3 linked regions of the Ovis aries genome follow. The protein of the gene in region 3 purifies or fractionates together with the protein of the main gene of each other region. This does not show direct contact. Links are inferred from orthologs where the notes say so. Each region holds a gene or a part of one and is shown on either strand. Other genes may lie near its edges. The genes, in order: STAU1, YBX1 and LRRC59.

Region 1 (3,652 bases), on a different chromosome or scaffold from region 3:
CAGATTCATGGCTCTTAGCCTACTGCATTAGAATCTAGAATCGTGTGGGTTAGGCCAAGGAATTTTTTTAAGTTCTCAAGTGATTCCGAAACAGACGGCCCACATACCAGTGTTCAGTAATCATTTAACAGCTGCTCGCTGGAAGGAACCAAGAAATACCTACTCCATCTGATTCCAATTAGATTAGCACCAAAGTCAACGCAACAAATGCAATGCCTCCAAAAATGACTCAGATTTCACTACCTTCAGTACTTTAACAAATTTCACCACTAAGGACCTCATCCTTTCACTTCAGTAAATCCTCCTAAGTTATAGTCCATTTCTTTCTATTTGGTCCTCAGTGAACTCTGGAAATAGAACATCTCTGCTAAAATGTATGATTGCACTCAAGCTGGAAATGCACCAAAACAAAAGGAAAACAAAACCTTCCCATGCAACTAGCCATGAAGCCACAGAGTGCTGCCCTGAGCTGGGTCACCCTAGGGGACAGGTGGACACAACAGACCTCTGCAAGCACCCTGTGAAAGGTCCCCCAGCTTCATACCTATCATCACGCATTTGGCCCAACGTTCTGTGCAAGATCTTCTGATTGTTTGAGAACTTGTTTCTTGAGCAAGAAAAGTCAAATGCTTCCAAGGGATATGTTCAGGAGGCATTTCACGCTGTGATAAACAGAACCATGAAATCACAACGTTTTCTACTCAGTGGGCTCTCCTGGACCTTTGGTGATCCAACTGCTTTATCAGAGCCAGCCACTAATGCTTTGGCCACACAATAGCATGGAGTCATTTTAGTGATGACTTAGTGATGTTCTAAAACATATATTTCTATTTAGTCACAACATCCTATACCTATCATGATCATTTTGAAACACAGCCCCCAGGGGAGTCCCCTGGGGGTCCAGTGGACGGGGCTCCGGAGTCTCACTGCCCAGGGCCTAGGCTGGATCCCTGGTTGGGGAACAATCCCACAAGCTGCACGCTGTAACCAAAAAAATAAAATAAAATAAGTCCCCAATTCTTTGATACTCCTCTCATCCACAGGTGGGGTTCTCAACATTGTGAACGTACCAATGGTCACTGACCTGTATACTTACAAAAGTTAAAACTATGAAATTATGTGAATTTTATCTCAACACAAAATTAAATCAATAAATAAAAGTGAGCTCCTGTAGCCCCTTCTTGAGTCTGGGCTCCCCGCCTGTTTGACCTACAGGATACGGCAGAAGTGGTGCTGGGCTGAATTCTAGGCCAGGGCCCTGAGACACTGGTGGCAGCTTCCAACTCCTGTCTCCCAGAATGTGCCCTCCTGGGACTGAGCCACCACACCATGAGAGTGTATAGAGAGTCTCTGCTCAGGCCACAGAGGACGGGAACCAAGGTTGCAGGACCAATGCCCCCTCCTTGATCGCAGACGACACACAGCCAACCAGCGAGAGCACCGCCTTGGAAGAGACCCTCCAGCACCGCGGCGCCGCATCGTTGCGTGGCAGAGATGAGGTCTCCATGCCACGCTCTCCCTGGACCACAGGCTTGAGAGCAGGATAAAGGCCTGGAGGTATTTAAGCCACGAAGTCTTGGGACAGTTCGTTAAGCACAAATGGTTAACAGGCATTTCAAGATAATAAAGAAAACATCTGGTCAAAATGGCTTCAGAAAATCCCCTAACCTGGTACCATAAAACACAGATTATGACAAGAATAATGTTCAGCATCGAAGAGTTCATCGCATGCTCTTCACCACTCAGGTGAGTCACAATCCTTCTAACATGTTCAGAACCACGCCACTGAGTGCACAAGAAGGCACCTGACTTTCCTGCTAAAATTTCCCAGGTGGGTGGAGGGGCAAGAAAGGCAAGAAACCCTCAGGGTACCAGAGCTTGTATGCTATCTAACAATAAACATTAAGCACAGCTCTCATGCATCCTCTTAGAAAAACCAACCTGAAACGATGTCTTCCTACCACCCTCCCGCTCCACCCCAAGCTCCAGGGGCCCCGGATCAGCCTTCGCCTCACCTCCAGCCTCTCGGGGGGCGGCTCGCTCTGCAGGATCCTCAGGGCTTTCGCAGCAGCATCGTGTTTGGCAGCCTGTCTCGTCTTTCCCTTCCCATTAAATTGCTGTCCTCCCACAGAAAGTTCAACTTGATAAACTAAAGGTGGGACTGGAAATGGGTAAAAGTACCTAAAAATAGAAGGGGATGAGGAAAATTAGTCTCAGATAAGTCACCATACCATCTCTGACAAATTCCAGGTATTTCCTTCATCACAGGTCCTAATTACAGCAGTGTTTGCTCACCAATAATGAGTCCTCATCAGCACATCCAGAGATTTCATGTGTTTATGCTCGATTAGAATTGCCACACAGTATGAGCAAACACTGTTTACATTTCACAAAATAAATTGGCTTACAAATTACATGGGTTCAATGTATAAAGCTAACCCATACTTACAAAATCTAAAATGGATTAGACTTTGGTTAAGAAAGAAAATTTAACTTGCTCTACTTTCTCATACCTGGAATGCACACTTTCATGTCTCCAGAAAAGAATGGGACTTTTTAAACCAGTCTTTTAGTCTTTATTTTGTCTGATATAAATATAGCTATTTCTTCTTTCTTTCAGTTTCCATTTGTATGGAATAAAGTTTGTGTGCTCCTGAAACTGCAGAGTCTCTTATAGACTGCATATAGCTGGGTCTTTTGTTTCTTTAAATTCAGTTGTCCACTCTTGTGTCTTTCAATTAGACGACTGGATCCATTTATATTTAAACTAATTGACTGGACCCACATTTCTAGAAATCCCAACAGCCTAGAGCCTGGCAGAGGCTGGTTTCTATTTTTAAAATGGCTTTGGCCTCCACCTGACTACCACCCCAAAGTAGGGCAGGGAAATGAAGACCTCCAGTTTGATCATCAATCTCTCCACTAGTGTCTTAAGACCTCAAGCAGAAGGTTTTAAATGCATGGCACTTTCAGATTTCAACTAATATTGCTCTGCACCTGTATACCAAGGCTATTTACAAAGCACATAAGTAAGTTCAAAAGTCAGAAAGTACCCAGTAAACAATAATCAATAAATCTGAGGGCTGAGAACTGTGGTGTCGCAAGAATCATGTTCAAATATGACTCAGTTGCACAAAGCAGTTACATGGGTGGTCTTTAACCAGATTGCTTGGGGCTCGAGCTGTACTGCTTGTGAGGAATGCGCCCAAGACCTTTCCAATGACAGGAGTTCGAAGAGCATCAAAATGCAGTTCCAGTGACACCAGGACAATTCAGACTGGCGGAGGCCTTTGGCAGGCAGAAGAGGACCAGACCATTATGCATTCTACAATCTATACACCTTACTATTCCACATGAAAGAGCAACTATACTTTCACCTGGATTTAAAACAAAACAGACACGTACCTTGGGGGATAAGCACCTCCTCTCATGTTGTAGGTATAGGTGGACTGCACCCGAGAGTAAGGGTCGACAGGCTTATACATCGGTTTCTTCCCAAGTTTCATGCACAGCGCATTTAGCTCTACAGTAGGGGTTATGCTTTCTGCAACACAGAATCAAAACAAAGAACTTTTCTTCCTGAAATGAGAATGACACTCACTAAAATCAAAAAGAATAGCATGCTTTCTACTAATGGATTCATGATGCATTT
Region 2 (3,652 bases), on a different chromosome or scaffold from region 3:
AAAAGGTATTATCTTCATATAAATCAAAGTACACAGCAACCATTAGTTTGGGAAAGGCAGATCAAAACCACTTCATACACACCAGGAGAGCTGAAAACAATCACACTGGGGAGGGGGTGGAAAAACCCCTCAATGCATTGCTGGCTGGTCTGGCTATATAGAATGGTGCAGCAGCTTTGTAGAACAGCTTGGAGACTAAATGACCTAGCAGTTCTACTTCTAGATCTGTATCCAAAACAATATCCACCACGCATTATTTTAACATTCACAACAAGATGTGAAAATAACCCAAATGCCCATCAACCAAGTTAACGAAGAACAAAATGTAATATCCATACAACGGAACCTGATTTGGTCATAAAAAGAAATCAAGTACTAATGATAAAGGCATGAATGACAAATACACGAGGTGAAAGCCAGACACAAACTAGGCAAATACAGAGACAAGGAAAGCAGCAGCCAGGGGCTGGTGTGAATATACTAAAATCCACTGAGTCTCACACTTTAAACACCAGGATTACCAGCATGCCTTTACACCTGTGTAGGTCATTCCAGCTCTAACTATTTACGATTCCATTTCTCACCGCTAACCCCTCTAGTCTTCCACCTACCCCTCCCAACTTCCCCCGCCCCCCACAGCCCCCACCACCTCTTCTCCTGAAACGGTTTTCCCATGTGTCTGGGAACTCCTGACCAGTCTTCGGCAAAACTGCCCTGGCCCTCCCCTGTAGCCTTTTGAATTCTAAAATCCCACCTTTCAAATCTTAACGTCATGTTCCATTTTACTGCCCTTTTCCTACTGTAATTATCACGACAGTTCCACATAACATGGGCTTTTAGATTCTTTCAGTTCAGTTCAGTCGTTCAGTCGTGTCCAGCTCTCTGCGATCCCATGAATCGCAGCACGCCAGGCCTCCCTGTCCATCACCATCTCCCGGAGTTCACTCAGACTCACATCCATCGAGTTGGTGATGCCATCCAGCCATCTCATCCTCCGTTGTCCCCTTCTCCTCCTGCCCCCAGTCCCTCCCAGCATCAGGGTCTTTTCCAACTTGTCAGCTCTTCGCACGAGGCGGCCACTTTGCCTCCCATGCAACTCCTGTTTGCTACTTAGCTTCTCTCAGTTTCAAGCACTCCACTCTCTAGTCACCCTTTACTTCTTTTCCTGGTGTATTCCAGGAGTCTTCTTCTCCCACTCTTATTTCCACTAGGACCTATAATCCAACAATCCTATCGATCATTCTGTCCCTTAACTCTGCCTTAATCCTCTTCTCTCATTTCTCTCGGAAGTGCAAGGTCTACCACTAATGACTATCATCAAACCCAAACCCAGGATCTTTGAGTAGACAAATGCTGAACAAATCTAACTCTGCTTAATCTGAGGCTGCTGCTCAAAATGGCTGGAAAAGCACAAGCATGTTTGGTGGACCCACTTTAAATTTGTGATCACTGTTACTTGACTTCCGCTATTTCTCTTCTACAGATAATTTCACATATTTGTCCCAAACCTCTCACCCCTTTCCTTTTGACTTCACCAACACACTGGTGCCCATAAACTCTGGCTTTTTACACATGCAACATCCACGGTTCCCAGCAAAAGACATCCCATTGCATGGACCAAACCCAATCCTAACTGAAGATAGCTGCAGCAGATAATTCTGACAAGTACCCTTTTTTAAAAATTGCATTTTTCAGCCTACAAATAAGCTCTTATTTCTCAAACAAAAAAAATCCTTTCTTAATGATTCCTTTCCCTTTACTGCCACCTCATCTATCTTCCTTTCAGCAAAACTCCTGCTATACTGATCTCAGATTTCTCACAATCTGCTCTTGGATCTGCATCAATCATTTCACCCCCTGGATTATAAGTAGCATGTGTCATTTACTATTCAAACAAAAAATTCCTGACTAAATAGTTTGGAAAGCCCTGCATTCATCGATAGATTATAATAAATATATTCAAATGAGACCATTAAATAAAACTGAAGCACTCAACAAAAATTCATGTGCTGTTTTTAAACACACCAATGAAAATAGGTAGAAAATTGGCAAAGTTCTACAACGTAACAAGAAGTAGACCAAGGATACTGCCCTCGGGATTTAAAGGGACAGAGTATGAAAGCCTATTTTAGACCGTTTATCACTATCACAGATAAACACTTATCACTATTTAAGAGCTGACATTGTGATTGTTTGCAGTATTTCAACAAGGTATCTGTGTCTAGGTTTAGACAGATGCTACCTGTTAGTTTTAGGGATCACATCTGGAGACTCAATATTCTAAGACCTTTTACTACATATATGCATTAAACCTATCTGGCCTGTGAAGCTCTACCCTAATTCCTCTAATAATTAAACACCTTCTGTTAAAAAGGTACGCTTACCTTTACTTTTCTCCCTCCCAATGAATCAGGTCTTAAAGTTATAATACAATGCAGTTTAAACTACCATTCTCTTACCTGTTAAAGGACAGAAATGGGAAATTCCATACCCTCATTAGAGTAAAACAAAAACAAAACCAACTGCAAAAAGTAGACCACATCTATAAAGCTGTTTTTAACCAGTGCCAGCAAAGATGCAAAGAACACATTCTCAAAGATAACTGACTTCAGGTTCACCTCTTAGGCATCTGATGAAAGAAAATGTGAAGTGTTAACAGACAAATGACTGAAAAAGCCTGCAGAAGCAGCATGCTGTTGCCGAGTCGTAGCACGCGCTCCAGTCAACTCTAAACGCAAGCCGCACCTGCGGAATCGTGGTCTGTAGCCCCGATACAGGTTCTGTCTCACTGGTCTGCCTTGTTCTCCGGCACCTTGGTTGTCAGCACCCTGAAAAGGCAATGGAGACCAAGCCAAATTTTACTCCATTTACATTAGCGCAAACCCCAACCAGACAAAAGTCTGAATACAGCAGCAGTTAGAAGGAAATAAAATCCGTTTACCTCCATCACTTCTCCCTGCACAGGAGGGTTGGAGTACTGTGGTCGACGCCCGTAGGGTCTCCGCATGTAGTAAGGTGGGAACCTCCGCCTGCGGTAGGGCCGGCGCTGTTGGGCCTGGCCTTCGGGAGCGCTCTCCGATCCCTCATTCTTTTCCCCACTCTCACTATTCTGGTAATTCTGCTGGTAATTGCGTGGAGGACCCCTGCGACGTGGATAGCGTCTATAATGGTTACGGTCTGCTGCGTATTTACTGCCTTGCACTGGAACTCCACCAGGGCCTGTAACATTCGCTGCCTCCGCACCCTACAAAAGCCATCATATAGTCATAGTGACAATGGAATTAAGGACACGCAGCAAAACGCACACAAAAAGTACAAAAGGGTCTCTGTGGCCAGGGGTGCAGAGAAATGATTTAACACTAGCTCCTCACTGTTCTGAAGAGGTAGCCCTCTATCTGCAGCCAGCACATTAGGGTTGGTGCACCTGTGTTCAAGTGGTCACCTGACCCATCCATCCACCTTAGAGCCACCATCCTAATGGATGAGATCTCCAAAATATTTCCATACTGAAGTCAAACCTTTACACAAAAAGCATCCTCACCTTTTCTCCTTCAACAACATCAAACTCCACAGTCTCTCCATCTCCTACACTGCGAAGGTACTTCCTGGGGTTATTCTTCTTTATGGCAGTCTAGTAATATCACATTCCAAA
Region 3 (3,430 bases):
ACTGGTGAGGGCCCAGGAATGCCTTGTTAAGTCCACAGGGCGGGTCTGAGATTAGAGTCAACACTGATCAGGGAGGGAGGACAGATTCTCATCCTCCAACACAAGCTTCCTATCCTCTGTTCGTAGATGAAGAATGGCTGTGGGTGGTGTGGTATTAACAGCTCATTTACTACTTTCAGGCTTATAAGCGGTGTTTTTCTGAGCAAGAACGCCAGAATTTGCTCGCAGACTTAAAGGTGCGCCGTGGGGAAGGCGTGACAGCCACCTCGCGCCGTGTTGGACCAGAGCTGTCCAGGCGTATCTACCTTCAGATGACAGCTTTGCAGCCAGATCTCTCCTTAGACAGTGCAGACTGAAGCCAGCCCTCAGGATAAGGATGAAAAGCTGGTTTCCACCGTTGCAGCATGACTACAGTGTAGGAATGAGGAGCACCTCCTGCAGCACAAGCCTGGGTCCTGCCCACAGCAGGCTTTCCTTGGTGTTGCCATTTGTGATAGTGTGTCTACCTGCCCACCTGGGGTGGAGGCCGAGATGCCTTCCTCTCCTAGCAAGTCAACTGCCATGTATGAACTGCCCCTGCCCTTACCCCAGGCAGCCCTCAAAAATACAAAGGAACAAAGACAGACCACTCAGACATGTATTTAATAATCGTAGAAATCCAAAAGTACCCCAGCATCAAATCTCCAGGCCACAAGTGAACTGCCCTCAGCTGGTGGCCTGACGAGGCTGGACGTGCTCTTGCCTTCCCCCGACCCACCGGAGCTCCCTCACCCAGCCAAGGAACGGGGATCCAGTCACTGTGCCAACTTCTGTATTCTCTTAATCTCATCTTATGTCCTGTGTTTAATTTTAATAAAGCATTTGTACCACTGGCTCTGGAGCTTAGAGGAAAAATAAAGGAATGTATAGTGATTCTGGGTAAGCTGTGGGCCTACGCAGCAGTTCTCCCTGAGGGAGAAAAGAATACGTCTTTTCTTCCATTATTGGGACAGTCACAAGCGTCAGTGCTATCCATGGGCCACTAGTGCTGACAAGCTGGACCCCGCTGTCTCTGAACATGCCAGGTTCTCAATCTCCCTGGGGAAAGGCAGGGAGCTTTCAATCACGAGTATTCTGTGAATGAGCACCATGACGGCCATTTCTGATGTAGTGAAAAGAGGTGAAGGAGGCCACAGAGCAAGAAAATGCTTACTCTGGCAGATAAAGGGAGTGGACAGTGCTGCCTTGCTCATGCTAGTGGTTAATGTGCCACTTTTAAACTCCATGATGTCTAGGATCAATGCTAAACATCAAGTCTCCTATGAAGCTTAGTTTTCAGGTTGCCTATGTGGTATTGAGTCACACCAATTATGTAATAGGGCTGTCACAGACAATGTGGCTTTGCAAGGATCCAGCTTCTTGTTTATTGGCAATCAAGTGATTAATGCTCTCAAACTGATGCCAGGAGCCTGGACTGTGCCCATTTTATAGAAGCCACATAAGTTGTGGCAGGACTGCAGGAGCTGCCCAAGACCCTTATGGCTATGAGATTTCTATTTATAGGTCATAAGTCTGTTTCCCATGAGAGATTCTACACTCCAGCCAAGAGACACCCAATTCTTGTGTAAGTTTTGTTTACTCAGGACATTATAAAGAAGGTAAAATGATGGGGAAAAAAAGATACCAGGGTGGGAATCCAGTTCTGCCCACAGACTAGCTGGAAGACCATAGGCAAGTCATGGAAAGCCTCAGTCTCCCTGTCTACAAGTGTTACATTGGACTGGATAATCTGGAAGTCCTGTCACAGCCCAAGATTTTGTATGGCTGTTAAAATATCTGAATGTCTGAGATCCTTAAAAAGTAGGTATGCCCCTCCCCCGCAATTTAGATGAGATTTGCCAAGTATGGTGTTCCCCTAGTCCCCAATAACACACTGCCTCCTGACCTGCCCTGGCTCCCCAGGGAGGAATGAAAGAAAGGGTCTGTGACATACAAAAGTATAAATGTAGTGACAGCTGACCTTTAGTAGAAATGCGTCTTGCCTTTACACAGCTTTGTATAACAACTAGAAAAGGCTCTCTCCCTAACCCAAGCCTATTCTTTTAAGCATGCAGGTAACTGTCCACACCTCCTATTTCTCCTTATTCCACCAGGGAACCCTGACTGAGGAACAAAGAAGTGTTACAAAGAGGAGGTCTCAGGTACCAAATGGCAGCCATTTGATGATGGCAGGTAGGTCTGACACTAAAAAGAGGTTGTGTCCAGCAGAACCCAATTCCATAGGAATCCAAGCTCCAAGGCTGGGAGGCAGCAGATGTTGAGGACAAGCTCACTGTTGAGAGTCGGTCTGCAGGACCCACTGGAGGATGTCATGGCTGCGCAGGCCCCGGACGGCATTGTCGTAGATGGTGTTCACACTGGTGCAGAGGGGCTGCTGCTGCAGCTCGGTCACCCGACAAGCAACCAGCCCGCCAGCCACACACAGCAGCAGCAGCAGCAGCAGCTTCAGCACAGCCCAGGATCGAGTGTGTTTCCGGGGTGGTGGCTTACGGGGGCGAGAGCCGGACTTAGATTCTGGAGGGGCAGAGTCACAGTAGACAGAGTTCAGGCAGTTAGGGAGAGGCGCGCTCTAGTCAGTGCTAGCCACCTCCGTGCACATCCACTCACACCCCTCCACTCTGATGAAAACTCCCCAGGCCCTCAGGAGAGCACAATTACAAGGAGACTTGAGCTCTTAAAAACTTTGCTATGCAGAGACTGAAACATGAACTTTGTCCCTTGGATCTCAGGGAGTAGATTGAAAGCGGATTCATTGATGCAGATGTCTCATGTAGCATACAGTCCCCAGGGTCCTAAGTTCTCCTCCAGAACATGCCAATGATCCAGGCCCCTGGGGCCAAGGGCAGGGCTTTATCAGGAGGTGTCAAGCATGGATAGAGTGCTGCCCATTTGGGGAAACAGGTTCAAAATTTATAAATACTTCTAATATATAAAATAGCCTGACACACATATTGGCCAAAGTGATTAATACTGGAACTGGGATTACAGGTGATTGCCATTTTCTGATATATACAGAAATTCTCTGCAATTAATATAGCCAGTGCGGGGTAAGCAGGGACAGGCGCAGGCCTCCCCTCCCCAGAGCTTCCCTGTTCAGGTGCCTTCCCCTCAGGGGCCCCTTTTGGCCCAGAAGATATAGTCCTCACTTACACATGGAGCCACATTGCTACACAAATCCAACAGGGCATACTCAGGCAAAACGCTCATGTGTTTTTTACGTGACATGGCTTCCTGAATGCAGGCCACGTAATTCTGTGTTCACTAAAGAGTGATCTGGTCCAACTCGGAAAGAAAATCACAGACCACGCTGGCACCACTGAGACAGCACCACACACTCAGGAGCCCAGTCACTTGCTGGACGATGGGAGGATCTTCTAACAGTCATGTGACC

What was found.
Region 1: the proteins of LRRC59 (region 3) and STAU1 purify together in Homo sapiens (affinity purification with mass spectrometry; 3 studies listed by BioGRID). This does not show direct contact. The link is inferred for Ovis aries from reciprocal best matches to the Homo sapiens genes LRRC59 and STAU1.
Region 2: the proteins of LRRC59 (region 3) and YBX1 purify together in Homo sapiens (co-immunoprecipitation; 3 studies listed by BioGRID and IntAct, with this or other methods). This does not show direct contact. The link is inferred for Ovis aries from reciprocal best matches to the Homo sapiens genes LRRC59 and YBX1.

What each region holds. Positions count from the first base shown.
Region 1 is NC_056066.1:77,263,130-77,266,781, forward strand, and holds part of STAU1 (double-stranded RNA-binding protein Staufen homolog 1), read right to left. Parts: intron 3,545-3,652; coding exon 3,406-3,544; intron 2,182-3,405; coding exon 2,016-2,181; intron 1-2,015. UniProt on the Homo sapiens protein: Binds double-stranded RNA (regardless of the sequence) and tubulin.
Region 2 is NC_056054.1:17,197,726-17,201,377, reverse strand, and holds part of YBX1 (Y-box-binding protein 1), read right to left. Parts: intron 3,632-3,652; coding exon 3,542-3,631; intron 3,245-3,541; coding exon 2,942-3,244; intron 2,829-2,941; coding exon 2,746-2,828; intron 1-2,745. UniProt on the Homo sapiens protein: DNA- and RNA-binding protein involved in various processes, such as translational repression, RNA stabilization, mRNA splicing, DNA repair and transcription regulation.
Region 3 is NC_056064.1:36,028,051-36,031,480, reverse strand, and holds the end of LRRC59 (leucine-rich repeat-containing protein 59), read right to left. Parts: intron 2,554-3,430; coding exon 2,309-2,553; 3' UTR 624-2,308; downstream 1-623. Other genes in the region: crossover junction endonuclease EME1, read left to right, coding at 180-356.